2 linked regions of the Oreochromis niloticus genome follow. The protein of the gene in region 1 purifies or fractionates together with the protein of each later gene. This does not show direct contact. Links are inferred from orthologs where the notes say so. Each region holds a gene or a part of one and is shown in the gene's direction. Other genes may lie near its edges. The genes, in order: cfap20 and clasrp.

The links.
Region 2: the proteins of cfap20 (region 1) and clasrp purify together in Homo sapiens (affinity purification with mass spectrometry; 3 studies listed by BioGRID and IntAct, counting the BioPlex papers as one, with this or other methods). This does not show direct contact. The link is inferred for Oreochromis niloticus from reciprocal best matches to the Homo sapiens genes CFAP20 and CLASRP.

The regions. Positions count from the first base shown.
Region 1 is NC_031985.2:18,318,109-18,334,153, reverse strand, and holds cfap20 (cilia- and flagella-associated protein 20), read left to right. Parts: upstream 1-9,620; 5' UTR 9,621-9,892; coding exon 9,893-9,976; intron 9,977-11,242; coding exon 11,243-11,322; intron 11,323-11,661; coding exon 11,662-11,773; intron 11,774-11,867; coding exon 11,868-12,056; intron 12,057-12,165; coding exon 12,166-12,279; intron 12,280-12,404; coding exon 12,405-12,410; 3' UTR 12,411-13,517; downstream 13,518-16,045. Other genes in the region: G-protein coupled receptor 20, read right to left, coding at 240-496, 774-959. UniProt on the Homo sapiens protein: Cilium- and flagellum-specific protein that plays a role in axonemal structure organization and motility. Microtubule inner protein (MIP) part of the dynein-decorated doublet microtubules (DMTs) in cilia axoneme, which is required for motile cilia beating.
Region 2 is NC_031979.2:23,405,862-23,422,156, forward strand, and holds the start of clasrp (CLK4-associating serine/arginine rich protein), read left to right. Parts: upstream 1-9,045; 5' UTR 9,046-9,198; intron 9,199-10,475; 5' UTR 10,476-10,516; coding exon 10,517-10,615; intron 10,616-10,985; coding exon 10,986-11,083; intron 11,084-11,174; coding exon 11,175-11,276; intron 11,277-13,600; coding exon 13,601-13,680; intron 13,681-13,837; coding exon 13,838-13,922; intron 13,923-14,013; coding exon 14,014-14,150; intron 14,151-14,792; coding exon 14,793-14,889; intron 14,890-15,959; coding exon 15,960-16,038; intron 16,039-16,120; coding exon 16,121-16,194; intron 16,195-16,274; coding exon 16,275-16,295. Other genes in the region: protein jagged-1b, read left to right, coding at 1,607-1,783, 3,664-3,814, 3,897-4,333. UniProt on the Homo sapiens protein: Probably functions as an alternative splicing regulator. May regulate the mRNA splicing of genes such as CLK1. May act by regulating members of the CLK kinase family.

The DNA.
Region 1 (16,045 bases):
CAGTCCTAGCCTGAGATGATGGTATAAGGAAATCCATGCCAAACTGATATCACCTTGACACAAGAACTGGAAATCAAGAAATTAGACCAGCCAGAAGCCGAACTCTTGGTCCACAGGGTTATCTGTGTGTGTTACCACATTGAATATGAGCATCCAACTAAAAGAATGCACATAACTAAAAACAATGAAAAGCATAACAGCTCCTCATTATGTGATAAATGAGGTTATGACTCACCCACCTGGTCAGAAACAGGATACTACAGTACATATTGACAAAGTAGCTGAAGGTGTGGACGTATGAGCAGGCCACACAGCTCCCTCCACTGTGGTACAGAGCGATGCGAGCCGGCAGCGACAGGGCCACCAGCAGGTCAGCCACGGCCAGGTTTATGGTGTAAACCACGGAGGCCGAAGAGTGTGCAGAGGCACCGCAGAAAACGTAGAGAGCCAGGCTGTTGAGGACCACACCAACCACCAGCATCAGACAGTTAAACACCTGCAGCAGGGAGGGATGGACCCTTAGTTTATTGGTCATGCACAGCTACTTACATATTTAAAGGCTTAGTGTCTTCTCAGTCTGGGATATTCTGAAGTGCACAGGTGCTGTGTGCAGGATTTTATGCTATTATTGAGTCTTAATCTATTTAATTTTTTAGGCGGGGTCCTTGCTTTTATCTGCTTACCCTAAACAAGTGTAAAAACAACTTAAGTAACTGCACAGAAATAGCAAATACTGGAGTGTAACATAAGATTTATTCAGCATTTGATCTTACCATCAGAAAAACCCAGACGGTGTAGAAATCTTGATACAGCTGCATGTCCAGGTGGGCTAACCTGTGCAGGTATGCGGTCCCCCATTCCTGGTCCCAGGTGTTGCAGTTAGTTTGGTGTGAGTTGAAAAGTGACAGGAGAGGCTCAGCAGTGGAGTTGGAGCTGATGTTGGTGAGAAGGCTCTCCATTGGTTGGAAAAGATGAATGACAGGTAGGCTGGTGAGAATCAGGGAGTGAAGTAAAGTAAAAGAAAAAAAAAAGAAAAAAAAGATTTACAATGTTTTACTTAAATCAATAAATACAAATAAAAACAAATTACAATGTCTATATTATGTTATGTCAACTTTAGAGGAATAATTCCTTTACTATAGTAGTAATCTCAACTGGAAGTCCAGCATAACATCTGCTTTCACACTTTCAACGTATTATTTCCATGGTAACAATGCAAAATCCTTCAGAAAGCTAGTTATTGGAACTGGGATTGTGTTACCAGACTGTTAATGTATAGCTGATGAATAAAACAACTGCTTGTTGTTATTTTCAGTTAAAAAACCCACAATAATAATGAAGCAAGTGGACTAAATAAAGAGAAATACGGTCACCTGGACATTTCATTAGGCACAGCTGCTCAGCCGTTCATCAACATTAATATATTTAATCAGCTAATCACGTGGCAGCAACTCTCTGCATTTGGACAACCTGTTCAGGTGAAGCTGAGCATCAGAATAGGGAAGAAAAGTGATTTGAATGACTGGACGTGGTATGACTATTGGTGCCAGATGAAGTAGTCTGAGTATTCCAGAAACTGCTGATCTACTGGGATTTTCCCATGCAACCATTTAGAATGATCCAAAAGACGAGAAAATATCCAGTGAGTGGCAGTTCTAAAAAGGATAATGTCTTGCTGATGTCAGAGGCCAGAGGAAACTGACCAGACTACTTTGGGCTGATAGGAAGACAGTATCTCAAAAATACTCAAAAAGAACAAGTCAAGGCATACAGAAGAGCTTTTTTGGATGCATAACATGCTGAAGCTTGAAACAGATTGACTACAGCAGCAGAAGTCCATAATGATTGCTACTCCTCTCACCAAAATTGTACAATGCTGTCTGGTCTGATTAGTCTCAGTTTCTGCTGGTAAGGTCAGAAATTGGTGTAAACAACATGAAAGAATGGATCCATCCTTCCTGCTTTGTATCAAAGGTGGTAGTGGTGATGATGTAATGGTGTGGAACAAATTTTCCTGGCACACTTTTGGCCCCTTAGTACTCAAAGATCATAGTTTATTGTTGCTGACCATGTCCAATTATGACCACAGAGTACACATTGTCTGATGGCTACTTCTAGCAGGATAACAAACCAGGCCACAAAGGTCAAATCATTTCAAACTGGTTTCTTGAACATGACAGTGAGTTCACTGTACTCAGGTGTCCCCCACAATTACTGGATCTCAATCCAATAGACCGCCTTTGAGATGTGGTGGAACAGGAGATTCACAATGATGTGCAGCTGACAAATCTGCAGCAACCGTGTGATGCTATCATGTCAATGTGGACCAAAACCTGTGAATAATGTTTTTAGTACCTTGCTAAATCCATGCCACAAAGAATTAAGGCAGTTGCAGAAGTAAAGTACTATTTCTTGATGGATACCTTAAAAAATACTGTAGCACTTAAGGCATTTTTAATCATTTATTACTTTGTTAATGTAGTGAGGAAAACAAATCTTTCAGATTCTTTTCTTTTCTAAAGGGTAAAAGCTTTTTAGGATTATATCCAGACTCATTCTATCTACTTTTTTTTTAACCTTTTTTTTTCCCTCAGATTGTTCAGTAATATCAGGGCGTCTTCATTACAGCCTCCCGGCAGTAATTTAAAGACAGATGCCCTAACCTTTTATCCTGGACTCAGCCTTGGATACTGTATGGTAAATAGTTTCAAACAGCTTAGTTCTCCAAACTCACACACACACAAAGACACACACATACGCACACTAAAAACTAAAGGAGATAGCTGTGACTTCTAGGGATGAAACCATGGCCAACATCAGCAGAAATGAATCCAGACAGAGAGACTTTGGAAATCCCGATCCTATAAACAATGTGCTCTTGTATCGTAGAGGCAACTGTATCCATCTTCATCTCCTCCCTAAAAGGATGTGACACTCTCAACAAAGTTAAGTACACGACCGTGTGTGTTACTTCAAAGACGGAGCACAGCATTAAGATGAACCCTGCCAGCGTGCGCGGCTATTTAACACACCACTGACATGTGTTGTGTTGAACATGATGTAGACGGTTGTCTTAACCAGATAAACGTGATCAGTGCAACATGTCCTGTTTAAAAAACGGCTGGACTGTGTTCACTTTCAAGGGGCTTAAAGAAGTTAAAAGACTGGCCAAAAATAGTGTTGATATTTCAAAGGCAGGCGGGAACAGATAAAACAGTGTGATAAATAAGGCGTTACGACATTAGTGAATTTGTTATGTTCTGCTTAAGAAGAACTGGCCAAACAAGCTATTCATTAGTTGGCCAAAACTGTTTCACCCTTAACTTGAATGTACTAACTTTTCCCAGAGCTTTGAAACTTATCACACTCATTTTCTATGGAAATAAACTTGTTGTTGTACAATCTCTGTAGTTGTTCTGAGTTCATCCAGAGCCCTTACAGGACCTTTAGCCAAGTTGGCTTAAAAGTTAGTTTCAGCTTGTTTCATCTGATGTATCATGGGAGCTAAAATGATTTTTTTTTTCTTTCAGCAAATCTGTGGAGCTCCCCTGGCAGAGCTTGCACATCACATACAAGCAACTCAAGTCCTTTAAGAAGCAGCCTGGATTTGAGTCTGCCCATCTTTCATCTTCTCCCTCACACTTTCTGTCCCTGTTAATGCGTTTCTAAAAGCCCCAAATTAAATCTCACAAAAAATGTTTATTTACTCCTGACTATTCGACATCAGAAAAAACATACATTAAAAATGTCCTCCTTTACTTTAAAAAAAGTAATTTTATAAAAGATAAATGTCTTAAATAATGCCATATTTTACTCAGCAGATCCTCTCATTTTGGCCAAAAGTGTCTTTCCTTATAAAAACCAGAGACGGATGAGCTCCCATTGGATAACATGTGCCGCTGAGAGAGGTCTTTCCACTCTTCATCATCATAAGACAGTTAGATAAAACATGGCTGTCAGCCTGGATTTTAAAAAAGGAAAAAACTCTCCAAGCAGCTATCTTCTTTGAAACTTTATGGTTATGGTAAAATATGTGATAAAATTATTATATTAAAGATAAACCAGTGAATGACTCTGAAGCCTGCAAATGTTTTTTAACATTGTGTTAATCACTGCCGCCCAGCACCTGCAGACTTTACAGATGCAGACGTGCATTTGCTTCATAGGTTCACTTTTAAATGAAATGACTAGATCATATAAAATCATATCTAAATCTATCAGGTCTTCCTTTGAGCTAAACCCTCACGAGTTAAATTCAAGCTTTTTAAACTTTACATTTTGCACTCTTAAAAGAATGAAAACTCCTTTTTGTGTACAATTTCCAATGAAAAAAACCTGTAACATGCATGTACCAGAGGGAAAGTACTGTAGGGTGAAAATGATGTGGATATCTCCAGGAGGACAAATGTACACAAAGAACCTTAAAACTGCTGCTCAGAAAATGAAAAAAACACAACCAGAAAAAACAAAAAGAAAATCAGAATCAAATAATGATGACTGAATGGATTAAACGTACCTGGAGAAGAGAAAAAGTGTGGAAAAGAAATCCTCATGCAGTAGACTTGTGCAAAAGTCCTTGTTGTCCGATGATATAAATAAAGAGATCCTCAGTTGCTTTTAATTTCATACTTTTATCTCCTCTTCATTTCGTACATCCTTTGGTCTTTCAGTAATTTGCTAAAAGGTAAGGAAAGAATAGGCCCAGAGAGTCAGATGTGAAGCTCTGGGGCGGAGAGAGTCCTCCAATGGAAAGTAGAGTTCAACAGGCGGACCTCCTCTTTAACTCATTTCTTTCATATCCCATATAACACAAAATGTAATGAAGATGTATCAAAAATGTATCAAATAACTCTGTCATTTTCTTTCTTCTCATTCCCCGTCTTCTCCCACCTTACAGTTTCTGCTTTGTCTCATTTTCCACCTCTTTAGTTTGAGCTTCTTTTCTTTCTCGGCCTCTTGTCAAATAGGACATCTTCTAATATATTTCATCTGAAACAGGGATTTGGAAAGGCAATGCAAAGACAAGGCTTGAGCGTCCAAGGTGTCGAAAAGCAGAAGAGGAACATGTACGCTGATGGATAACAGTTGGATTGGGAATAACAAGAAAAGAGTAAGTGGCTGGCAGGCTAAAAGGAAGAGGAAAAATTAGAAAGAGCTGGAGGGAAGACTGCCCTGTCTCTGTGGGACAAAAACAAAAGGCAGTTTCATTCAAGTGTGATTTCAAAATCGTTTATTTAAAGCTGTCTCCAGGGTGGTCCCACTCGGACAGCGTTAGAGAGAAAAAATATACGTTTGTCTCTGTGTAAATACATGATTCAATTAGAGAAGTGAAGAGCAAAATAAAAGTATAAAGCAGACAACGCAGCATAAACTGTTTCTGTAGATGTTTTTATGAAGCTGCCAGCCTGTGAACCCGTGAACCAACACACACTTATAAAAATGGGAGAGGACACCTTCATAATGAAAGATAGATAAAGAGTAGAGAAGGGATCACTTTACATTTCTTTCACCACAAAGAAGCGTCACCTAATAAACTCACAGGAGGATAAACAGCTGTAACATCTGTCCCATTGAATATGTTTGCGGTTGTGTGTGGCTAACATCAAAATGTCAAATAAAGTCCTGCGGCAGTAATACCTGTGAAAAAAGCCAAAAGGAGGCTTTTGATTTATGCTGCGCCGTTGGTGATGTCATTATACAAAGTGCCTGGTTAATGTTTGATTGAATGTTTCTTGGCTTGTTTAAATATTTGAAATCTTTGCCAGATGTTTAAAGTGTTGGAGACGGAGGAAGGATGTCGCGCTTGACACTTCGGCGGAATTTAGAGGGTGGAAAGAGTGCTTAAATTAAGTTGTGCATAGGAAATCTATTTCTAGAAACGTTTGGGGTGGATGTATTAGGGAATTAAGGGGCACTCCAGCAGTTTTACAACTTAAACGGAGTTTCAGCACATAGGTGCTGTAAAGTATGCTGTGTAATTTCAGCAAAATTGGAAATGTCAGAGGAATTATCTTGGCTTGCAGACAAGGGCAAGTCTGCAGGCATTTAACAAGCAGAGAGGAGCTAAAACCTCATGCGTAAAACAAACATATTTTGTTAGGCTGAGAGGGATTTTTTTTTAGCTTTCAGTAGGTCTTCTGTTCAGACTGAAATAGCCCTGTTACAGATTTTAGCAGGTGGTAGAGAGCCAACAGACAGTGCATGAGAGAAGTGAAGAAGAGAGTGCAGGCAGGCTGAAAATAAGATTCAGGGGTGTTTTGTAACTGAAGGATGGCGACAGCAGTGAAAAGGAAGGTTTATATGGTTGTAATGAGACCTGCTTTAATGTATGGTTTGGAGACAGTGGCAGAAGAGGCCAAGGTGGAGGTGGCAGAGTTGAAGATGTTAAGATTTTTATTGGGGTTGACCAGGATGGACAAGATTAGAAATTAACAGTTGAGGTTGATTTCATTTTCTAGAAGCTGGAGTTAAATAAGATAGGATGGGGGCTGGACTAGACTCTATCTGCCTTTTCAGGTCAGCGAGGCTAATGTATTAGTCTAAGCAGAAAAAGCAGAGGATATGGCTGCCAGATGAATGCTCTTTAAGGTAGGATTCAAGGGCAGTGTCATGGTTCAATGATATGTTAAATTATGGATTGATAATGTCCTGATACCCACTGCAGGACTCAATGATAGTTAAGACATCATTTAGAATCATTACTTCAGTATTAAGTTTAGAAAGTCATTAAATCCTTAAGTATGATGTTCGCCTTGATGTCAACTTCAATGTCGACCCACTTTTCTGTCAGTGTAAGGAAATACCCGAAATAAATAAAGAGTAGCTTCACTATTATCAGATCAACATGAATAATCTTGGTCTCTATGGACAGGTAAGACCTCAGATAATATTATTAAGCATCTGGGTCACTGTGACTTGTACTATACCTGAGTAAATTCTGATGAGCCAAAGAAAAAAACATTCAGAAAGAAAAGAAAAGAAAGTGCCCATTAGCTTCTTCCTACAATAATACATTTCCCTCCTTAGGAATAATCCTTACCTTTACCTATACCAGGGGTCGGCAACCTGCGGCTCCGGAGCCGCATGCGGCTCTTTAGTCCTTATACTGCGGCTCCGTGTGGTTTGGGCAAATACATTAGAAGTATTTAGCTGAAGTGTATTTTATTTATGTTAGTTCTTTTTAACTCGTAGTTCTAAGTTGGAAGATTATTGTGATATTGAAATGTAAAAATAAAATTATATTCTATTATTTTTTCATCGCTCAAAATAAGAGTCACACTCGCGGAAGCCGGTATACCCGCCGAAACGCCGTGCATTTATCGAGACTTTCAACCCCAGGTAGGCCAATTATGGATCTTCGGATCCACATTATGTCAGCAGCTGTTCTCCACCGTGAACTATGTTAAAGACAAACACCGTTCACGCCTGACAGATGACAGTCCTGCGTAAACTGACTTCGTATAGCCCCGATTTGCGGACTCTGTGCGCAGAGGTTCAGGAGCAGAAGTCCCATTGTAAACAAATCACGGCAGACCCGACGATGTTTCCATGAGCATGCTTTTGAGAACCTCTTTATTGACCACTTTTCACACACGGTTGCTGTACGCATACAGCCGGCTGTAGCTTTTCAGCTCACAGTCCGACATACACCACCAACAACACAACAGCATAGATAACGCAGACGTAAAGGCAGCGAGGCGTGATTGCGGGTGTCGCTCAGGTGCGTCCGCCTCCCCTGCAGCGGCGCTGCAAACCACGTCCCGCCGCACGCATTAACCAGGTAAAATACATATTTAGGCAGAATTTTGCAAATATCTATTTTTCATTTTCAGCAGCATAGTGCTTTTTTCCAATTATTTTTTAAGAGTCAGGTCAAGGCTCCAACAGCGCAAAGGCGATATAAGGGTGGCGGCTCACAACAGTTTTTGTTTGCTACATGGATCATTTTAGTTCAGCTGGGTGTCTTTCCTTTTGTTATATTTCTTTAAGAGTTCAAAATGTGTTGATTACATAAATATAATTTAATTTTCTCTGTAGCACTTCATGGATTTCATAAGCAGCACACCTTAGTTGCTCAGGTGGTAGAGCAGGTCATCCACTGATCGGAAGGTTGGTGGTTCGATTCCTGGCTTCCCCTAGTCTATATGCCAAATATCCTTGGGCAAGATACTAACCCCAAATTGCTCTCCGATGCATCCGTCGGAGTATGAATGTGTGTGAATGTTAGCTATGAAGCACTTAGAAAGATGTGTTTGTGCGAATGGGTGTGAATGGGTGAATGCACAAGTTGTGTAAAGCGCTTTGAGTGCTCAGATGAGTAGAAAAGCGCTATATAAGAACCAGTCCATTTACCATTTACCATTCACACAAAGCATAAAGATAAGAAAACAATATATACAGTGTTATCTTCATTTTAGATGTCAAAAAGTATTTGCGGCTCCCAGTGTTTTCTTTTGCGTGGAAACCGGGTCCAAATGGCTCTTTGGGTGTAAAAGGTTGCAGACCCCTGACCTATACTCACAACATATCCACAACTTCCCAAAAAAACCTTGCAAAAAAAGCATCAGAATTGCAATTTTGAGCCCTTCATAAGAAAACTCAGGGTTTCAGACCATTATTGCTGTGTGACACAGCAAATTTAGGAATAGATGCGATACCAAGTAAATACAAGGTCAGTATTGCTGATTTCAACCCATAAAGCCAGTTTATTTAGGAGAGCGCAGTGTGTCGCGATTTATGAGATAAATCACTTTGAATTTGCAATTCCTGAACACATTTTAATGACGTGATGAGTGATGAGTTAAAACAGCAAAATTCACCTTTCAACTTTTCGTGTATTTTGAAACAGGGGTTTTGGGGGGGGGTCTTAGACCTGGAACCTGTCATTAAAGCACTTTGGGTCAACTTCTGTTGTTTCAATGTGCTACAGGCTATAAATAAAACAGATTTAAGAGAAAGACATGACAAAAAGGTTCATACATTTTTCATAGTGCATAGAGGTATACTTTCATAATTAGGTGGGCTACATACTGAACTTAAGATGATTAAAGCAAAGTATCAATCCCATTGTGCTAGTGTCATTCTGATGCCAATATTTAGTTGGTATTGATACTATCAATATTTGGATGGATCCTCCCACCTCTACAGACCATAGAAAACTCCAGCAGATCTAGGGTGCCTTGTTTATAATGCTGTGTAATGCTGCATCATCCCTCTACAGGAACTGTACAGATAATATCCTGACACCTGTAATGGAGGATCAGAGCTGTGCAGCCCTGTTTAGTTACTGAAGCTATGTGTGAAAGCTCCCCTCTCCAAACTAAAGAGAAGTGCACCTGTACTTTTAAAGGTCCTAAAGTCCTAAAATTCTTTGGAGACGCGCATATGGATCTGGCTGCAGGCGGTGAGAATCGGGCAGCTCAAGATATCATTTTGAATTAGTTTATGATTAGGGAGTTTTTATTATATCATGCATTCAGTAACTGAAACAAGAATCATCAAACGTGAAAGGTGCTTTGGTTATTTCGGCGACTTCTAGACGATATTATGTTAAACACTTGTGTTTTACGCTTACACTGTTACCACGGCGACCGAGAAGCGTCAGCATTTATTAACCGGCATGAACAACGTCAGATGATTTTCGTTCCCCAGCAACACCAAAATAAAAACGAGACATCCGCTGCCTTCTTTCTGATTGACGCCGTGTGGGAATATTCGACCACTCAGTGAAACCGATTTCTCTTTTTTATTCTGAGTGACAACGTGGTAGTTTCTGTTAGCGGAACGGTTTATATTCTAGCACACGGAACCAGAAAAGTTGGAGGCGGAAATTAAACCTGTAAACAAACGGTTACACTACGTGCACATTGACCGTCTGCTGAGCCCAAGGAAAATGTTTAAGAACACATTCCAGAGCGGTTTTTTGTCTATTTTATATAGTATCGGCAGCAAACCTCTCCAGATATGGGACAAAAAGGTAAGCAGCGGCTCAGAACGGAAGCAGGGAGCTAAATGTTGGCTTAGCGAGCGGGGCTAAAACTGGCTAGCATCATGTGCACTCACCCCCCTCTTAGGATGTTAAACTTCGCACTGTTTTATGGCTGTGAACGTTTTCTAGATCCACTTTAAATTCACTACCCGCAGTTCTTGTTGATTACTTGTAAAAGCAACATGATACAGGGTAGCCACGGAGGCAGTGCTGCTAAGTTGCTAACCTAGTCACACATCAGTAATTGAAGTTACAGTCGCTTGATTGAGTCATTGGTGCCATTTACACGGTTTTACAGGCTAATGTGCTAAACAGGAGCTGTTGCTGGTCAGATATTCAAGTATGAGCTTTGCAGTCCTCTCTGCAAGGCCATCTATGCAGTGGTGACAAATGATCTGAGATATGAGATATCCATCCATTCATTAATTTTCTGCCGCGTACCCAAGTCCAGGTTGCAAGAAAGCGCTCTAAGTAGATAGACTCAGACTTCGCATTTCCCATCACCTTGTCCGGGGGTACACGGTGGCGTTCCTAAGCTCACCCAAGAGACATAATCTCTCCAGCGTGTCTGAGCTCCTCACCCTATCTCTGAGGGAATATTTTTGCTACTTGTATCCACGATTCTATTCTTTTGAGCGACTGCTAAATTGACAGTTTCCGTTAATGCTAAGCTCTCTCTTCACGGTCTGCATCATTGCACACGCCACACCACTCCATCTGTCAGTCTCCTACTCCCGTCTCTCCTTGCCCATAAGCAAGATCCAGAGATACTTGAACTCCTCTGAAGCAACAACTGATCTCTAACCCGGAGGTCGGGCAGCACCACCCAGTGTTGTCTCCAAACCTCTGTAATTCATTTCAATTCAATTTTATATAGCACCAAATCACGACAACAGTTGACTCGAGATGCTTTATATTATAATGTAAGATACCTACAGTAATACAGAGAAAACTCCAACAGTGAGATGACCCCCTATGTGCAAGGACTTGGCGACAGTTGGATAGAAAAACTCAAAGCTTGAAAAGCAAGTAATAGGTTCAGTGCTTTGCGGATTGGGCAGTCACAATCCCTGGTTGACAAATCTGACTTTAGATATGAGACATGCCTTCTTCATTCATTAGTTTTGTTTAGATATCCCACATCTGATTCAGGGGGTTTTACAGTTGGTACGCCATACAGCACTCTGGCTCTGGGAAACGTCCTAATTTCTCCATTGAAAATAAGGGAACAAATCTATTTCTGGGTTTTCACAGGTGAGAAACGGTCACATAAAGAGAGTCTCGGACAATGACATACATTCAAATGTGCTGGAGATTGAGGGAACAAATGTCAGGTGAGTTTGTCTGTTTATTTATTAATCAAATGCACAGGATATAAAGTGAAAATTATAATAATATACATTATTATATAATTATATACACTATTGCAGTCCTGGCATATTTAACAGGATATTCTTTTTTTCAAGCTCTTGTGTACATTGATTGTCTTCACTTTGTGTATAATATGTCTTTGTGTTCTGTTTGAAGTATGTGTACATTAATGTATCATGTAGATCCCAGGCATAGTAATTAGATTTACTTTCTTTAATATTTTTGTCTTGTTAAATAACTGAGATAAATCCGGTATTTAAGTCTCGCCCATCCTAGCTTCATCAACTCTGTCCTCCCTACAGCACCACCTACATAACATGCCCCGCAGACCCCAAGAAGACCCTGGGGATCAAACTCCCCTTTTTGGTGATGATCATTAAAAACCTCAAGAAATACTTCACCTTTGAGGTCCAGGTAGAGACATTTAAATGCTCTGTGATTGGCTAACATACAGTCTGGGAATCTACCATAGACCTGGTGCTACGTGTGTCTCATATCTCCCTCTCAGGTTCTGGATGATAAAAATGTTCGCCGGCGGTTTCGAGCGAGTAATTATCAGAGCACGACGAGGGTGAAGCCCTTCATCTGCACCATGCCCATGAGGCTCGATGACGGCTGGAACCAGATTCAGTTCAACCTGTCCGACTTCACCAGGAGGGCTTATGGAACCAATTACACAGAGACGCTACGTGTACAGGTTAGTGCACACATGAGGAACCTCTGAGTCTTTCCTGTTTCTCTATAGTAACAATTTGACACAATAATCCTTTTTCTCTTTTTAACATCTGCTCTGTTTCCCCCCTCAGATTCATGCTAACTGTCGGATAAGGAGGGTGTATTTCTCCGACAGACTGTACTCTGAGGATGAGCTTCCAGCTGAGTTTAAACTCTACCTGCCTGTCCAGAATCAGAAGGCCAAGGTGAGTACATCTCTCCATATACGTGAACGCTAATACAGTATTACAGTCAAAAAGTTACCATTTCAGCTCTCAGTCTGTAAAAATGTTGTGTAGAAGTCTAACACTTGTCTGTTTGTGTCTTGCAGCAGTAGAGCTTCTTGCGGTGTGCAGCCCCCCCCCCCCCGATGTGATTTGGAGTTTTAGTTGTGACAGCATTATAGACATTCAGTGTTCATTTAGTTTTGACTTTTTCGTGAGTCTCTGCACAGTTTTAATAAAATGGTCCACATTGCAAATACACGCAGTAGTTGTCTGTGTGTTGTCAGTTGCGGTGGAACTTCTGGCTCATACAATGTTAACTGCAAACAGCTTACAGGCCCACTGCTTATTTTGTAAGTCTTTACCAAAAAGAAAGAGATTTACTGTTCAAAATTAAAATTTGCCCATAAATACAATTAAATTCCATGGTTTGTTGATTTATTTAAATCACTCAGGCTAAATGATGTTAAGTCCTCTGGCTACAGGTATTTTTTAAAAGTCCACCATGTCCATTATTCTGGGGGGTTTTTTCAGTTTGCCACCATCCTGTGCATCCTAAATAGTATTTATGAATGTTAACCACCTTATGCCCTTGTCTATATTTCCTTCTGACACAATGCAGAATCCCTTTATTTTTTTCTTGTACTAGAGGTATGAATATCAGCAGAAAGACTTAGTTTCAATAAATCGTTGTTGCTATTAAAGCTGTAACACTTGACAGGAACAAAATATGATCTTTACCTCTGGTCCTTTAAACAAATAAGATCCTGACACTTGCTTCTATCTGATTTTAATCCTGTTATTTTACATGTCAGTAGTTTTATATTTGCTAAAAGGTTTCTCAGATTTGGCTCTCTATTATAGAAATATGTTTAGATGCTGTGATGATTGTGACATTTATTTTGATTAGGCTAACTACTTCTAGCCCAATCCCATAAAAACACCTGTTAATTTACAATATTAATAATTATAATTTTAGATTTTGTATTAAATAAATGCCTACCAGTGGTTTCTTTACAAAATAAATATCTATAAAAACAGAATGTGTGTTTAGATAAAAGCCTTTATGTTAACATTATCAAGCTCTAGCCTGTTTGTTTTAGGCAGGCTTTTTCTGCTTGATCTGCTTCATTTTGTTTCTTCTGTGTTTTATTCAGGTGTATTTATTACTTGTGCTGTTTATTACCAGGTTGTAATAAAGTTTTTTGGGAAAAAAAAAATCTTCAGGTTTTCTGTTACCACCACAACCGAGTTGTGTTTATGGATCGGTTCCATTCCCTGGCTACACAAAATAGAATGAAGATTTTTTTTTTTTTTTTTGAGAAAGATTCACACAATAATTATTTCCTCAGATTTTTATTTAAATTAAGCATCTTCAGCGAGACGGGTTTTTTTTCACCCGGAACTAGTATAAGGGAAAAGAAAACCCGTAAACAAACGACTCACGTGTAATAGCAACCAGCGAACGCTGCTTGCAGGGTCTCAAAGTCGTGCTTAATGTCTGTGGAGTGAGCTCAAGGATGTTTAAAAACACCTCCCAGTGCGTGTTTTGTCTCTTATACAGCATCGGCAGCAAACCTCTTCAAATATGGGACAAAAAGTTAAGCAGCGGGTGTAGAGGGTGTATTTTCCAACAGACTGTACTCTGAGCATGAGCTTCCAGCTGAGTTTAAACTCTACCTGCATGTTCAGAACCAGAAGTCCATGGTTAGTACGTCCCTCCATCAGCCATATTTTATTGGGCCAATTTTGTAACAGATATTGAATGGAAAAAAGTTTGGACTTTACCACAAAGGTTTCTTTTAACGAACAAAGTTAAAGAGATTTCGTTCAAATTAATTCATAAGTTTTACCCCACCAAACAATATTTGTCCAAATTTATGGCTGAAATAAATGTAAATTGTTACTCATTTGTTTTGGTCATGTAAATTTACATGTAAATTCTGGAAGGACTTCCACAAGTTTATTACTGACTCTGTTCTCCCTAATTTGCAACTATACTACAAGGATGTTATCTTTGGCTATTATAATTTTAAAAACAAGGACAATGATGCTTTCTTCTTTATAAATATGGTTTTATTTTTGGCAAAATTTCACATACACAAAAGCAAAGTCCTCGGCAGAAAACCTGAACTTCTTGTATTAAAAATGGAACTCGCACAATATATAAGGACAATCTCCTCATCAAAAAACACTAAGGCTCTCAAGACTGTTAACATCTGTAACCATTTGAAACTGCTAACTTGATTTTGGCTCTTCCAAACTTTTATGTTCTCCTTAATTTATTTTAGTACTCACTTTTATCTCATTGTCCCCGTCACTTTCATTGCTCCTCATTGTAATACTTCAATGTCATCTTTTATATGATCCCTGTTTTACTTAACTGTATGTCTAAAATGTGATAAAGCTTCCAAAAAAAAAAAAAAAAAAGTACGCCCCTCCACACACGTAAATGCTAATAAGGTATTACAGTCACGTGATGTATTCATGGCACCTCTCAGTCAAAATGTGTATTAGTCTAACAGTTGTCCATTTATTTCTTGCAGGAGTAGAGCTTCTCTGTCAGCAAGGTCAATGTGATGAGGCGATTTGGTCCAAAATGTAATTAGTATAGACAAATTAGGAAAATTTCCATCCCAGTGTTGGAAAAAAACCAGAGTTGCTTTCTATACAATAAAGTGTTTTAGGTACTAATGTGTCCTCAGTTTTGAGTAGATAGAATGGATGGATGGATCAAAAGACATCATCACGGGGTCTCTGCTAATAATGCTGCTTGCTTTTAGTAGTTTATAAAGAATGATTACCATAACTGCTTTTGATGCGCTATAACATTAAGTACAGGATTTAGGATAATCCTCTTATTTGTCAAAAACCTAAAAAGGCACACTACTTGTTTAACTCTTTACCACCTGAAAGCCTACTAGAAGTTGGCTTAGAAGCCCTTTTCATTTCTGCCATATTTCAGGCCTGCTTATAGAACAAAATGGGTTTGCATCAGAAGTTTGTGAGGGTGGTCTTTGCCTATGTAGTTACTCTTAGAAAAACCTGGAAGCTATTCAAATAGCCAACAAACCACATCTTTATTGATATATACTGTGGTGTCAAGACTCAGGGGAGGTCACCAAATGGGGGAAAGAGTTAATGAAAAACAGACAAGTCCATTCATCAGATATAAATGATTTTTTTTTTTTTTTTTTTTTAAAAATCAAACACCACAAATATTTTCAGTGACAGCTGCATTTCCAAGATAATATTTTTCTTCAGTTTGGATTTCTGTACACATGAGCAAAACTAGCAATATATTCATTTTTACATATTGCATCAAACAAACAAACAAACAAACAAACAAAACAAAAAACTAATATTGAAGAAACACCTCTGGACTGCTTTGGACACCTCTTGCTATCGATTGTACTGAAATACGCATTTTCTGTTTTTCTTTAGCAAGCTCGTGTTATTTAGATACATGGTTTGTAAATGTAGAAAAATGTTTTTAGGGGAGGAAAAAAAACAAACAAAAAACTCAGATGTTAACTCTGGTGTCAAACAGTAACGGTATCTCACGTCTGACAAAATTCAGAACTGGGTCACATTTGCAGATGAAAGTGGGTCAGACAAAAAGCTTAAAAAAGTGTCATTTGTGCAATGAAATACTAATAAAGTGATCAGAATGATGCTATACTTTTGTGTTTTCAGGAAAACAAAGACTATAGCTTCAAAACTGAGATTTGGTAAAATATTTCAGTTT
Region 2 (16,295 bases), on another chromosome or scaffold:
TGTCCTGCCTCCCTCTGTCTGTCTAATTTGCCTACAGTCTCTGCACCTGCTTCGTTGTTCTCCTCTTAAGTTTTTCACTACCCAGCATTCACATTATCTTAATCATTTTTCAGTATTTCAAACAAAATATTGATATAGGATAAAATATTCAATATGAGCTTTTAAGCCCATCAGCAGGGGAGCCACAAAGGGGAGAGGGGGACCACCCCACCACACCATGTTCCACCCCAATATTTTAAGTGCCCCCCAAATGGCCACCCCTATGAAAAAATTCTGGGGGCACCCCTGTATGCCAGACATTATTCAGTAAAAGGTTTTGAAGCTGTTGTGCTGTAAGTTAACTTCAGTGTTTTCTTAAATATTATTCTGCCTGTCGCAGATCCTCTGTAACCCTCCCCAGTGCTCTTTTCCCACACTTCATGTCTTCGTGTCACACATATAAATTACACACAGTTGTGGTCAGATGCTTAGATACACTCATCATGGGCATGACTGTCATGGTAATTTGGGGCTTTTAAGGTTTTTTTGAACTGTTCTTTTCCTGGGTTCAATGATTGTACAACAGTTTGAATTTATTTTGCACTTTCTCTGATCCACAAGAGCTAAGATGTATACATACACTCTATTAAATATTTTAATAAGTGGTACTGAAAGTTAAGGTTTGTTAACTTCTGTTACTGATCATGATTAACTACAACTATAAAAAGAAAAAGCACTCACTGGATTGACAAATACTCGTGACAATGGGAATGTCCACGGAAGTTAGTGAAGCTCTAAGGAGTCCATTGTGAAGTGAGTTTTACATTACCATGGACTAAGAGGGTGCCAACCAAGAAATAAGCCCCTGCTCCAAAATCAACACAAACCAAATGCTTTCTTTTAAAAAGTTTTATGGTCAGATAAAGGTTGAACCGTGTGACTGGCCACAATCCCAGAAGATAGGTTCTTGAGGTGTGAAGTCTTTTAAATCTAAGAACACTCTACCAGCTGTGAAGAATGGCGGTGGTAGCATCATGCTTTGGGGCTCTTCTGCTGCAAGTGGTACTGGTATGTTGGACAAAGTGGATGAAATAATGAAGAGGAAGAACTACCTGTGAATTCTTTAACTTCGCCTCAGATCAACAGCTAGATGGTTGAAAGTTGGACACAGTTGGGTCTACCAACAGGACAATTATGCCAAACACGCATCAAAATTGGTTTTGGACTGGATAAAGCAGGCTGACATTAAGCTCCTGGAATGGCCTTCCCATTCCTAAACCCCAGGTCTGTGCCAGGAGACCAACCAGTTTAGATGAAATGATGGTCAAATTGTTGATGATTACCAAAAGGATCTGGTTAAGGTACAATTTGCTAAGTGAAATTAACCAAATATTAATGGGGCTGTGTGCATATAGTTGAGCATGAGTGTATCAGAGAAAACCCAAAATTAAATTCAAACCCAATTCCTGTTTTTAAAGTCATTAAAGATAGATGCTGTACAATCATTCCAGCCTGGAAAAAGAACAGTTCAAAGAAGTCATTAAAAGCACAAATTTACCATGACAGTCATGCCAGTGATGAGTGCCTGTAAATATCTGACCACAACTGTATATTCTGACCCATACAGGATCAGGTGTCAGGATCCAGATGTGTGTGTCCACCTGGATTCTCTGGAAAACACTGCCAAAATCATCAACGTCTGTGTGATAGCGCCCCCTGCCTGCACGGAGGGCAGTGTGAGGAGAAGGATGAAAGAACAGTCACCTGCAACTGTCCCACTGGATATTCTGGAAACTTCTGTGAGGTCGGAGAACGTAATTTAATTTATTTTTTTAATAATTAAAACTAAATGGGTATTTTTTTTAGTTTAACTAATGTGTGAAGATAATTTCTAGTAAAAAAGATGAAACAGGCATACAAGGTAATATTAGATGTTACAGTCTCTGAATCAAAGACTCAAGGGAACCTAACATAATCTGGCCCAGAAAACTGCTGCCATTCAATATACTTTTAATAATGTAAATATGATTACTTACAAAGAATAAACATGAATGAGGAAAATGGAAAACCTGGCAAAAATAAACAAAAGAGGAAGAAGATCATGAAACAACCATACAAGGAGCCATCAGATTCCATTTTCCCCTAAACTAATATTAATAACCTAAAATAACAGAACCAAACTCGAAAACACGACTGCCCGTAACTCCAAACTCAAGCCATAATCAAAAGCAGCAGAACGACATCACCAGTGCTGCTGACGAGGATCAGGAGACGAGGTACTGAGATGCCAACCAGCAACCTCCGTGCTCCACCTTTTCTAGCTGTATATGCATGCCAGTGAGCCTTCTGCAGCCAATCAGAGTGAGAAACAAATCAGAGGTGAAAGCAGAAGATCAGAGGAAGATAATAGATGTGTGGTCGCACAGAGAGCGCGCATAACATCATATAACAACATATTTCAAAAGAGTAATCCAAAAAAGATTGAAAGAAAAATCGATATGATAGATTTAAAAAATGGGGATTTTAGAAATTTAGTCTTTATCAGAAGTTCATGTTACACAATGGTAAAATATGAATTTAAACCTGTTCCAGAAAGAGAAACCTGAATATTTACAGTGTTGAATGTGCTGCTAAGGTAAATGAAAAGCACAGTAACAAATGTATTATGCAGCTAATCTCAAGTTCATTTGGTTGGGGCGAGGCGCTGTCCACACATACGCTGGTATTCTGGTAAACGTATCTTTAGTCTATGGATTTTAGTCTTATGTCCACACATACAACAACTGAAATAAAGATTTAGATTTAGAAAGTTATCTGCTTTTATCTCTGTTTTGACATCAGACTGTGTGGTTTTATCGCCTGTAGCCTTCTGATTGGCCAACATTTATGTTGCATAGAACTCAATGTTGTTTCTTTTTCTTTTTCTTATGAATGGAGATATTTTACAAAACAAAAGCAGAAAATCATTTTTTTAAGTAATACATGGACACGGACCTGAGTATAAATAAAACATGTGATGATATCATGAACAAAGGTAGAACAAGCTTATAATTAAAAATAAAATACAGAATAAAAAAGTGGATTGAAAACTATAGACAGCACATCAGATGTTACTATTTATACCAGGAATAAACATGATTCTAGCATTTTAGCCCTATCAGAAGTGAAGTACATTAAAAAGTCCACAGAAGTAAAACTAAAACTTTTTAAGAAAAGCCAAACAGTAAATAAACTTTTTTTTTTTTTTATAATATTATAAAAACCTCTTGGCTCCAGATTGCTAGTTTAATGCCTACATTTGTTAACTTTAATGTGATCCTTGAAAATCTCAAATAATTAGGTAAAATAACAAATCTAAAATATTCAGGTTTATATATCCGGTGTCTTTAGTCTTTCAACTTTCAAATTCATTTTTGTTTGTTTATTTTTGTTTTTCAATCCCTGCTGAGCTACGGGAGAACTCATACTATTAGGAGGAAATTTTACACCAAAAAGTTTAAAAATGCTAAAACTTAAAAAAAATTCATTGGCTATAAATAAACATTTGAGTTTTAGCATTGAAAGTGAAGTAAGAAGAGATCTTTTAAAGATCCAATCAGAAACATCAGAAATTTCACTGGAGGTTAGAGAGAAGTGGATGTCTCCCTTAACTGTCTTATTGTTTTGTTTTTTCCAATATTTCAGGTCGTGTTGGACTTGTGCAATCCCAACCCCTGTCAGCAAGGCGTGCAGTGTCACATCATAGATGGCAGGAACACGTGCATCTGTCCTGACGGTTACTATGGTGACGAGTGCATGAGCCTCAAAAATCCCTGCATTGGTCACCACTGTCAAGGTGAGAGAAATACTTGTGCATCTTTAAACGTATAAAATCTTGATGAACCCTGGTCTGATCTTTCACGTCTCAACACCCGAAGGCGCCATGTCTGACTCAGCACACGGGGGCCTGAGCTTCTACATGATCCTGGTGGGAGTCTTAGCTCTGGTGACGGTCTGTGGCTGTGCCGCCTGCGCCTTCATCCTGTCCCACCTCCATCGGAAGCGGAAAAAGCAGCAGGCTGTCCCGCAGGAAGAAGGCATCAACAACCAGAGGGAGTTTGTCAACCTCATCAGAAACGTGGACCGTCCGGTGCCCCAGCTGCCCGCTGCCGCCCCTCTCACAAACCCTCCAGCTCCCGCCCCCGTCTCACGTTGCTACGAGGAGATTGAACTGACCCTGCCGCCCTCCCCGGCCCCCTCACACCCTTCCCCAGCACTAAAGCCAGCACATGCTGCCAAACTGGACATTTCAAACCAAGAGAGGGAGAAGTTGAACCGCCTCCACTATGCAGATAACCAAGAGCTGGAGGTCTGACCCCATGCTGACCTTTTAAAGCCCTGAGGAGCTGTTTTTTAAATTTACTTTGCGTCCTTAGCACTCTTTTGCTCACAGGACCCCGTCTCCAGTTACTTGCACTGTGTCGATGTTGCAGATATGAAAATTAAAGGTGACCCTCTGACCTTTATAAACAAAGATGGCTGTGCGCAGACACCAGAGGAACAAAGGCTGCTAAGCAGAGGGGTCGAAAGAGCGTCGTCGCCATCGTCTTTGGGCCTTCTTAATGGCCATGAAAAAGCAGCACAGGCATAAAGTTGAGCTGAAAGACTCAACAGTAAACTGAAAACCTAAAGACTTACAGACTTGCCTTTGAGTGCCTGTGAAACTGTCAAGAGTAAACAGAGGATCTTCCTCCATTTGAGTCCCGATACATTTCCTGTTCGGTGTTGCCATCTGACTGTTGTCCAAACCTCCACTGAACTCTGACAGAAAGGATCAGTGAACAGATGCCTATTTAACATTTTTTGTTTGTGTCTGGCTGTGTGTAAGTGTGTGTGAGAGTGAACGAAAGACTGGATATAATTAGTTTTTGTGAGAGGGGAAACATTTCACTCTGCTTAGAGTGAAAGTGCATCCTCCTGAACCAAAGGCTTGCAAGCCTCCTGAGAACATTTTTAAGAGTATACACTGATGCCTGTTTTGTCTCTGTAATACTGCAGTTTGCCCGAGATGTATGGTTTTTATCATACTTGTGTGTAACATAGTTGTTTTTGTACATAAATAGTATTGTACATATTGATGCCCTTTTTGTACTGTGATTCATTCTGGAAGTATCACTGTATTACTGTCCCCTGTTTTTCCCTTTATACTTTCCATTTGGAGCAGCAAGCACATGTGGAATGTAATAAAAGTGCATTTACCAACTCGATTTTATACCTTTTATTAAACTCCAGGGTTTAGTTGTCCAAAATAATCCCTGTGAGCCGAAAGCTTAGGCTTCAGACAGCTCTAAACCCTCCCTTCCAGACAGTTTTTCCTTAGGTCTGAATAATGAGAGGAAGAGCAGATAACTCTAACATGGTCAACTGCTGTTCAGCTCTTCTGTTTCTGAGGGGCAGCTAATCAGATGAAAGCTGGTATAAAGGGGGAGGAGCTAAAGATGACAAGATAAATTATTTAGGACTGTGAATAATGTAAAGCTGCTCTAGTCGATAATAACTCCCCAGTCTTCTCAGGACTCTCATTTGTACTCAATAATCACTACTACCCACTAAAGAGTTTCTAAATCCTTGAATAAAAAGCTATTTTCAGTTGTTCTGTTATTCACCAGTGGTCACTGTCTGTTTGATTTAGTTGATATTTTGCACCAGAAGCCCTCCCTGACACAACCCAAAAAGGATTGTGTCTCCTCTAATACCACTTTCTAATAATATGTAGATCTGCTCCATTTGTTAATACGGCCAAAGCAACAATATATCATGAATGCACAGTCCTTTGAAGATACAGAGATACTTTTGACCATAACCGTATATGTAACAAAAAGCATCCAAGCTTATTTTTAAGCTTTGGAATAGCAACATTAGTCTTAAATTACTTACATTTGTTTAAGAGTTATCAGTTCTTCTAGTTCCTTGTCTCCCTGTATGCATTTTTCAGATGTCACAACCAAGCTTTCTGTTCATAAATCACTGACAGAGTCCCATGAGAGGATATTTCATGTTGGAGCACAGGCACAATGACTAGGTCAGTAAGTCACCATATACACAGTGACTTTCACTATCTTCCTTTTCTTTCCCTGACACTCGTTGACAAACAATGATGCTGACGGTGCCAGGAAAATATGGGAGACCACCTGACTGACCCCAGCTTTCCTAAAAAACAAATGTGTGGCTGCAAAAAAAAAAGGAATAATAATAACAGTAAGTTTCAAGAGCAGCGGGTTTGTGCAAACTGCTGGTCAATAGCATTTAAAATGCTGGAAACACTGGCAAATATTTACTTAAAGTTTCTGGTTTTAATGGATCTACAATTACTGAAGTTACCTGTAACCATTTTTGCAGATATCAGACAGTCTATGTTGTCCTAAATCATTACAGTACAATTTTTCTGTAAACTGTACTCAAGTGCAGTTGTCTAAATCTGGGGTACACTTGGGTACTTCCAGATCCAGTCCTTTTTGGACCCATGACATGCCATATTTAACCTATTCTTTTTTTTCCCTTCCTTTCTGGAACTCTTCCCATATATGTGGCCTTTTTTTCTCTCTCGTGTGTATCTGTTTATTTGTTTGTTTCTTTACGCTGCACTGGTGTTATTGAAAATTTAAAATATATATATATATATATATATAAAAGATCATTACAGTAAAGCATGCTGTGTGTTACTAAAATATGATAAATTGCCAAGTGTAAGCGGCTCCAAGGTCACAGCATAGACATTTAATGTGCAAATAGATGTGACAAATGTGACCTCTGACCTGTGCAAACAACAGTGGGCTGGAAATGAACATGGTTTCCTGTAACCATGCTGGTCATGAGGAAATGTAGAGAATAGAGTTTACACACACAAACATAGACGTATATATATACATACATATGTACAGGCATCTTTCTGCACCTGCTGAGCAGGATGTCAAAGCCCAGCGTGCAGATTAGAAAGCTTCAGATTCAGCCAAGGGGTCACTGCCCCTCAGTGTAAAGGTGTTAAATGCTTGTCCTTATTTTCAAAGCACACTTTGCAGAGAAATAAAATACGAGTTAAAACAGACACACACAAACACACACCCTCAGCACAGTTATAGGTTTAGTAGCATTATAGACACTGAGAAATGTACCCGGGGCTCAAACCTTTAGCAGTTTTATGAAATGACAGAAGTATTTAGAAGTGATCCTGTTTTGACTTCAGTACTGTGATAATATGTTCAGATTTTGCTGTGTATGAAAGGACTCTGAATAAGCTAAGTCATCCTGATCGTTTGGATAATCCAGCAAATAAAGCATTACAGTAATTTAAACTGTAGCAATATAATCTCTCTGGTGTGTTCGGGGTCTGCCTCGGGGCCTCCTCCCAGTCGGACATGCCCACAACACCTCACCCAGGAGGCATCCGTGTCAGGTGCCCGAACCACCTCAGCTGGGTCCTTTCCATGCAGAGGAGTAGCAGCTCTACTCTGATCCCTCACGGATGGATCCAAGTTACTTTTCTGAGGAGCTGTGTGATTACAGCACATTGGAGAGATAAATTATATTTTTATAAATAAAACGTATTCTATATAATTTATTTATCCAGGTAAAAATCTCATTGAGATTAAAATGTCTTTTTCTGGAGAGACCTGTCCAAGAGGGAAGCATAAAATGATATAACAAGTAAAGGAGCAAATACAACTGATATTCAGAGACAAGTGAACACAAACGTGCAAAGCATTAACAGCACTCACACTGACCAAAAGATTTATTCTCTCATTCTTTTAAAACAGTCTTAAAATCCACAATCATATCCAGTTCTGACACTTTCAGCTCCTTTCTGACTCTGTGACAAATATCAGCATGAGATAAATAAGAGGAGTTAAAGATTCTTTATTATCATTTTGCAGTCACATAACGAAATGCTGCGTGGTAGCTCTCAGCTTAAAACACAGGCAGACACACAATGAATAAATACACATAACAGGGAAAGGTAATAATGTAGATACCTGATGTAAAGTTCAGCTGTGCAGTGGATGCCTTGGTCTTTTAATGCATGCGATGTGTGCGTGTGTGTGTGTGTGTATGTATGAAAATCAGCAACTCCAGAAGAGTTGATTTATACAGAAAAATGTGGTAGTTCAAATGAATATAAGAGATCTCCTTTAAGGATTTATTTTAGTGCCCATCCACATGTGCAGCTGATGCACTGACCCAAGGACACCTGGGTTTGTATTTCTGACAGGGATTCAGGAGAGCTTGACAACAAATACAAGAAAAACTAGAGCTTAAACGCTGAGTGACTCTCACTAGAGCAGCATTGATACATGTCCTTGTGCACATAAAGTAGTCATAGACTGGTACAGGGGCATAATACTTTGTAGAAAGAAAGATTAATTTAATTATTTTTAGCTGGATTACCACAAATGTTTTCACACACAGTTTGCCAATTCCTTGCAAGTGTCTCTATTTAACTGTGATAGCTTCAAATGTGCATATTTCCTGTCTAACAGGGACATCTTGTGGCCAAATACGGTGCACAACCTTAAAAACCACTGAGCCGTTTTTCATACTGAGTTATTATGTAACTTTCATTACGAAGCCAACAGATAATGTAAATAATATGCACAAACTTTCTTTCAAAATAAAACACATATATTATCCTGTTTAAGTTTAAGGAAGGCTTTTCGGAAAGACTCATCTTTGTGTTGGCATAAGGTACTGTTCAGTTTCAGCAATAAAAAGAACTACATTTATTCAAACTTTTAATTATCATAGCAAAGTATAAACTATATCTAAAAAGCCCAATTTAATCAATCTACATATCTATTCATAATTTTTCAAAAGGACACCGAGCATTGTATTAAAACCATCTGTGAATTTAAAAAAAAAGAAGAAGAAGAAAGCTGTCAAAATGTTTTTTTTATTTGTGATGCTTTGCATAGAATCTCCTCTGACTCTGGTCTGAGTTATCTGCTGTGAAGGTAGAAGTGGCGATTATTGTTTACTGTGTTTTATAATAAGGAGAATTTTTTTCAAAAGTATCTTCCCATTAATGTTACATACACACGCCTCCCCGCAGCGCCCTCACAGGCCAGAGTCGGTACTGCAGCCTGTTATATATATGCGAAGGAGGCGTGTGGTTACGCTCCACTCCGCTAACATCGCTTTTGGCCAACTGAAAACAACCCGTGTGTGTGTTGGCGATTAGTAAAACAGGTACACTGTGAGAATTTAGACCGCGCTGAGTACCCTGTACGGCCGTATGTGTAGTTTTCAGTGTTTCGTAGCTGCTTTTTTGACCACTGTTCCCAACGTCTTTGCAGATCAGCTAAGCTAGGCTAGTTGTGATGCTAACTGGTATTAAAAAGGCCCGGGCTGCATGCGCAGTCAGGCCCGTGTGTATGCTAACAAACTCCTACATCACTTTGATAACACGGATTTTTTTTAGCACCCGGCTGAATCTGAACGCTGAAAGTGGGGCGTAGACGGGTTAAAATAACCGTTTTAGAGGACAAACAGCGTTGTAATGTAACCGTATTAACTACGTAAATACTGGATAGAAAGCTATGTTAGCTTTTTAGCTTCAGACTGTTTAGCTACTGCTGTAAATTAAAAGTGTGTTTAGTGGTAGAAGATGCAGAGGTGACACCTTGATTCACAGTTACTGTAATTTCTGTGATGTACCAAAATCACATTTTAGGTGTTTGTTTTTTCCAGTGAAATTCATTTTATTTATTTTTTAAAAATATAAATCGGAGTATATTTGCTGTATTTGCTTGTTTGTGTTATTTCATTAATGTCCCTGTTTTAGCAAAATTGAGGACGAGGAATCTGCTATAGAAAAATATAATCCTGTCATTACTGCGGATATGAGCTTCGTCAAACACTCCGAGAAATGCATTGGAAGTGTATACACTGATGCAAATGAATGGCAAACGTATACCTTTTAGGTTTCGTTACACTGAATTTCCCTCACATGTCTAACATGACGTGTCACAACTTCAGTTTTAGGAAGTGACCAATATGCCTCAGTTTACTTATGAATAGACAGGCTACAAATATTTTGTGCATTCATGGCCGTTTAATCTCGGTATATGTCTGTTGTCTTGCTAGAAATTTAGACGTCACTGCGTGCCTTAGGTTGTCAAGTGTTTAACAAGGAATGTAGGTAACTATTGCATTACAACATTGCCTGTGTTTAGTGTGAAGCTTAAGACTGGGAATTTTCAGTAGTCTTGAGTGTTGATAGTGTGTTTGCAGATGTGCTGGTTGCACTCTGTAGTTGGTTCTGATCAGAGATATCAACTGTAATATGTAAGAGATACTTTCTGTCTGTATGTCAGTGACATGATGTGGAGTTCAGAGCTCTTGAAGTGCTCAGTTTATAAAGTCCACTATTTATTTATTTTTATTTATTTATTTTTCTTGCCTCTAACACCCTTAATCTCACTTTCCCCTGTCTCCCATGATTCTTGCTTGTTTGCCCTGAGTAGCAGCCGTGCCCCGCCGCGCCCCCACCCCTAGCGGAGCCGTCATGTGGCAGGAGGCCCGCAAACATGAGCGCAAGCTCCGTGGCATGATGGTAGACTACAAACGGCGAGGCGAGCGCCGGCGAGAGTACTATGAGAAGATAGTAAGAAACTTTATCATGTTGCATTGCCACAGTGTACCACCGGGTAGGAGTGAGCAGGTCTGGCCTGAACACTCTTACTGCAGGATTTTTAAAAAAGAAGAAAAGATTTGAGCAAGTTTATACCCAGTTATGTGGGTCCAAACTTTGTGGTATTTTTAAAAACATATGCATATAGTTGACACAGCTTTCAGTTATCCTCATTGCATCAATGAACCAGTTACTGTTTACAAAAAAAAAGTGTCAAGTTTTAGAAGTTAATTTCTATGGTTGTTGGTTTCAGTTTAATTAAAGTGCTGTGCAGTGTAACATTTCATAGTTTTAGATATTAATCAATGCATTGTATTCTTACGGTTTCATTTTCTTTTGACAGAAAAAAGATCCTGCTCAGTTTCTTCAAGTTCACGGTCGAGCCTACAAAATCCACCTGGATCCAGCTGTGGCACTGGCCGCAGAGAGCCCTGCAAACATGTGAGGAAAATCACAAAATCGACACATAATAAGAGATGAGCCACACCACAGAGCTTATGATCACATGTTGCCTCCTTTCTGTTGTCTGAAGGATGCCTTGGCAAGGAGATGCCAACAACATGATTGACAGGTTTGATGTAAGGGCTCACCTGGACTACATCCCCACCTACACGCCACCTCTGCTCACCACATCGTAAGTCTGAAAGTACTTAAAGCCACATTTTTAACATGGAACCCACGTTGTGTGAACATTTTATTGGTTATTTATTTACTTTTTCGTTGTATGATTCTACATGGGACAGTTGTGAGGAGATCATCACACATTCACCATATATTGTTGTACATATGCTGTACAGATTATGTATTCAACAGTTAAGATAGTTCATCAAAGAGGGCTTTCAAAAAATAACCAGTCATAATTTGGTATGGATTATGTTTTCAGTTTGTTATTTTTTGTTTTGTTTTGATTTGATTTGATTTGATATACCTTTATTAGTCCCACAAGGGGAAATTTCTTGTTAAGGCTGCCGACCTATTGCGCGCAATGGCGGCGCCATCTTACCCTCCGACCATACATACATTACACAAAAACATCACATGGGGAAGACAGGTCAGAGAGGTATAACAATGGAAAATGCACCACATGAGGAAAGATCAGGAGAAAAAAATAACTCCCCCCAGACTGAGCTCCAATGGGGAGATCAGATTGAGAGCAGAAAAAAAACACCTCTGCACATAGCACATGAAAAAACTCTTAATACACCAAAGTTTGTTTTTAATTATGTGGAAACATTTGCTCTTGTATGAGGTTGAGCTGATCTGACTTTAGTCGTCAAAGGAGATGGTGACCCCATTTTTTGTTTGTTTTAAGAAAAAAACCCAAAACAGGTCATTTTGTCACCTGCAAAATAGGCTAGTTTAATTACTTATATTATAATTTCTATAATAATAAAGCTAAAACACCTGCTGCAGTAGTCTGTAGTAGTAGATTTATGTTTTATTCCATTTCTCTAAATTGGGAAGCAGTTTGCAACTAGATGGATGTTTTATTGTCCATATTTAAAATTCGACTTTGACTCTACAAGCACAGCTTTAGTGCTTCTGGTGACCCGCTCCTAAGACAGTGGCAGGTGGGGGCTTTGACTAGGGCAGTACATCTGTCCAAACTGTAACGCAGGTGTCCTAAGGTGAGCTCAGGGAGGACAGAAACCACCTGTGGAGCAGAAGGGCAACAGCTTGCATGACCTTGATTCCCAGTATGAATACAGATTATTAAAATAGGTCCTCATGATCCTCCGGATTTCCTGGGTTTTAAACCTGTGGTCAGTAAGTGCTGGATTGTTGACCCGCTAATAGGAAAGTGAACTGATTTTTAGGCCGTTGTGAGACGTTTTAGTGTTTCCCTGCGGATGATGTGATGTTGTAGCAGTAATTCTGCTCAGTACGAGAGCAGTTGACATTATGTGTATGTCTTTGGCCAGTGGTGTGAAGCTGCCAGCTGCAGGATTGACTGAACACCTCTAAACAGGGGTGAAATAAGGTGTGAGCACAATCCTCAAATGCTGATCATAGCTGTGGTTAGTTTTACAGGTTCACTGTTTTCTAAACACAGGCACAGTCAGTCCATTTCAATAACAAGTGCCAAAAATAAACAGTGTTTGAAAACATTAACAAATCAACTTGTGGACTTGATTTAAACAGATTTTACACCTTGTGAAAGGAACTCCCAAAAGGCATGCGTGCTGCAACAGCATGATAGCAAATCTGGCCCTGATACTGTAGGCCTTTGGTTGGTTGCAGATAGCCGCCCATGGGGGTGAAGGAGAGCAGTTTGTGACTGGTCAGGCGGAATGCCAAATGATGGTCACCTCTCCCCAATCTTGGACTCGTGTTTGTGGAGAACTTGCTGCTAAATAACTTGTAAACATCCTGATTCATTTATCAACACACCACCAATGAGGAGACTTTATTGAAGATGGTTGCTGGGATGACCGGGTGGCTACTCTTAAAACTTTCTCTGATAAATACCCCTCCTATTACGTTATAATAATTTAAAAGACTAAAACTAACATTCAAAATGATAAAAACTAAACTAAAACTAAACATTTTCATAAAGTGAAAACTAATCTAAAGAATGCCAAGTGATTCTGTAAAGTGATGGAAAACTAAATAGAATTAAAGAATTAAAAACAAAATAAAATTTAATTTAAAAATGCTGTTTATAGCACGACTGTCTGTTTCGATCTTTATGTGTTGTAATGCTGATTACTTCACTGACTGCTTGTGCTGGTGCATTGAAACTTGTGGTAATAACCAAAGAGTGGCTTTTTAGTAAGACTTCTGGTTCTTACTCTGTGATAAAACACCTGCTGCTCAGTAATTGAACAGGTCATCTGTGAGATTGTATTTTTAGTCATCTTTCATGCTTGGTCAGGACACAAACCAGTTCAGTGTGGTGAGATTTGAGCATTCAGCGAGGTGTTTAATGTGACCAACAATCTTCTTTGTCTCATGCAGCACTCCAGAGCAGGAGATGGAGGAGAGAAAGTGTAACTATGAGCGCTACAGAGGCCTTGTACAGAATGACTTTGCCAACAGTGAGTGTTAACACACAAAATCTACATGACTATGTAATGCGCTTAATAGTGTTGCACCTGTATTCTTAATGTGACCATGGCAGTGTGTTGACCTGCTCTCAGTGGGTATATTTTGCAGTTGTGTTGTGCTCTTTAAATCCCTCCTGTCCTCCTGCAGTCTCTGAGGAGCAGTGTTTATACCAGATCTACCTGGATGAGCTCTATGGTGGTCTGCCCAAACCAAATGAGGATGAGAAGAAAAAGTATGAACTAAATTTTAAAGTGGTTCTTTATCACCACTGTGAAATCCAGTATTTTAAGTTGTTTTCATAAATCTTTCCTTGTGTTGTGCAGACTGGCTGAGAAGAAGGCCACCATTGGTTACACGTATGAAGACAGCACTGTAGCAGAGCCTGAGCCCCAGTCAGACAAAGAGGAAGACAATTCAGAAAACAGTGAATCCGAAGATGACGAAGGCATTCCAGATATCGGTGAGCATGTTTCACTGGAGTAATCTATGTGTTAGGGAAGTAAAATTCAGGAGATGACCAAATAAAACATTTAGAGGCACAGCTGTCCACAGAGAATGTGTTTGATCAGCTTTTCGTCTCTTGGATATGTGAGAGTTATTCCACAGAACGTTTCTCAGAAGAGACTAAAATCTGAAATTGTCAATTTGACTGTGCGAGCTGGATTTGTTACATCATTTAATGCAGTGCAGGCTTCAAATGGCCAGATACACATCTGTGTGGCTTCAGACTAACCCTGAAAATGGACTTCAGCGAAGGAGAAATGTCACATCCCAATGAGAAATTAATGCAGTTAAACCAAGCTATTTAACAGCATGTAAAACGCTAGTTATTGAGAAATAACACTAGTTATCTTACACTGTACCTGGAGAAGATTGTCTTTATAAAAGTGATCCACTCAGCTGGCACTGCTCAACTTTATTTTTCTCTTTTCTGCCAGGTTGCAGGTTTTTCTTGGTTATGTGATAATCGTGTTTTAAATGCTGTTAACCGACGATCTGATCTCAGATCAACAGTGTTCCTGTTTAATGCTTGGGTAAGAAATCGACTTGTTAAAAAATGGTGTGTGTGTGTGTGCGTGTGCGTGTGCGCGCGCACTTTCAGATGTGGAGGTTGATGTTGATGAGCTGAACCAGGAGCAGGTGATGGACCTGAACAAAATGGCAACGCCATATGGAATGGCTGAAGGAGACTTTGTCAGGTAACATGTCATTAATCACATCATGATGTCAGAGTCGAACCCAAAGCAAATTTCTGAAGAAAAACGACGCCCAGTGGTTCCTTAAATTTTAATTAGTGTCTTGACCAAAGTAGAGTTAATGTAGCTTTTTTAAAATTCAGTTTTTTTTTCTTTTCAGTTTTTTCAAGTTTTTAGTCTTTTTAAGTATAATTATATGGAGGGCATATCTCAGAGGTGAGATTTAGGAAAATCATTTTAGGTATTATAATAAGAAGAGAACTTTTTGAACGTTCAGTTGACTCAGTGTTTTAGACCAAAGTCTTATTAAACATGTCTGAATCTTTAGGGAAGTTGTGATAAATTTTACCAAAAAACTGTTTTCAGAAACAGTATTTATCTAAATATTTTTTCAAATGTAGTTGTTTTTTTGTTTGTTTGTTTGTTTTGTGGTTTAATTTTGTTAACTGTAATATCCTTGACCTCAAAGTTGATGTATTTGGGTTTTATTCATTTTAATTACAAGCTTCTGCAGTGTTTTAAGTTCAGCAGATACTGTAAAAATACACACAGTAAAAAAAAGGGTTTTTTTGGTTTGCTTTTAAATTGACTATTTAGAGGATCTCTTTCAAAATACGTTCTGTAGAGTAAAGACTAACTTTGAGCAAGATGTTTGTATTCTTGGACTCCAGTGGAGTAGCTTTGTATGGTTCACGGTGCAAAATGAGCTTTTTCATTTTTAATATTGTCTTAATTGGCTTTTGTGCAGCCCAACTAAACTAGCTGCTCTCCCGGGGGTAAAAAAAAACACTTTCTGAAGTTGAGCAATAAGAACAATTTAAGCCTGAGCCATTGCTCGTACAGCCACTCTTGTCATTGTTTGAAACCATGGCCATATTTAACGTGAGCATCTGACGTTAAAACATAAACCGTAATGAGTACACTGAGCTGTGACTCCGACACGAACGCATATATCTCGTGCTGTTAAACTGTGGAACATTGGGTTTCTTTTCTTCAAGTTGATGCGCTTTTGTGTTTAAATAGTTATTTTTGTGGTTTTTTGTAATGCTGTGATTGTGCTGCCCATTTGTCAGGATGTTGAGGAAAGACAAGGAAGAAGTGGAGGCCATCAAACATGCCAAAGCTCTGGAGGCGGAGAAGGCCATGTACTCTGTAAGACTAAATCTGCTGAGGGAAGTGTTTGTGTGGGTTGTGTTTACAGGTTTTATAATGTTTGTTTGCTTGATTGTCTCAGGGCCGCCGCTCTCGTAGACAGAGGAGGGAGTTTAGAGAGAAGAGGCTAAAAGGAAGACAAATCAGCCCTCCGAGGTAAATTGCGTTATTTTTCCTTAATGAACTTCACCGTACCTCAGAGCGTGGTTATGTTAACTCGCCCTTTCCTATCGCAGCTACGCCAGGAGAGACAGTCC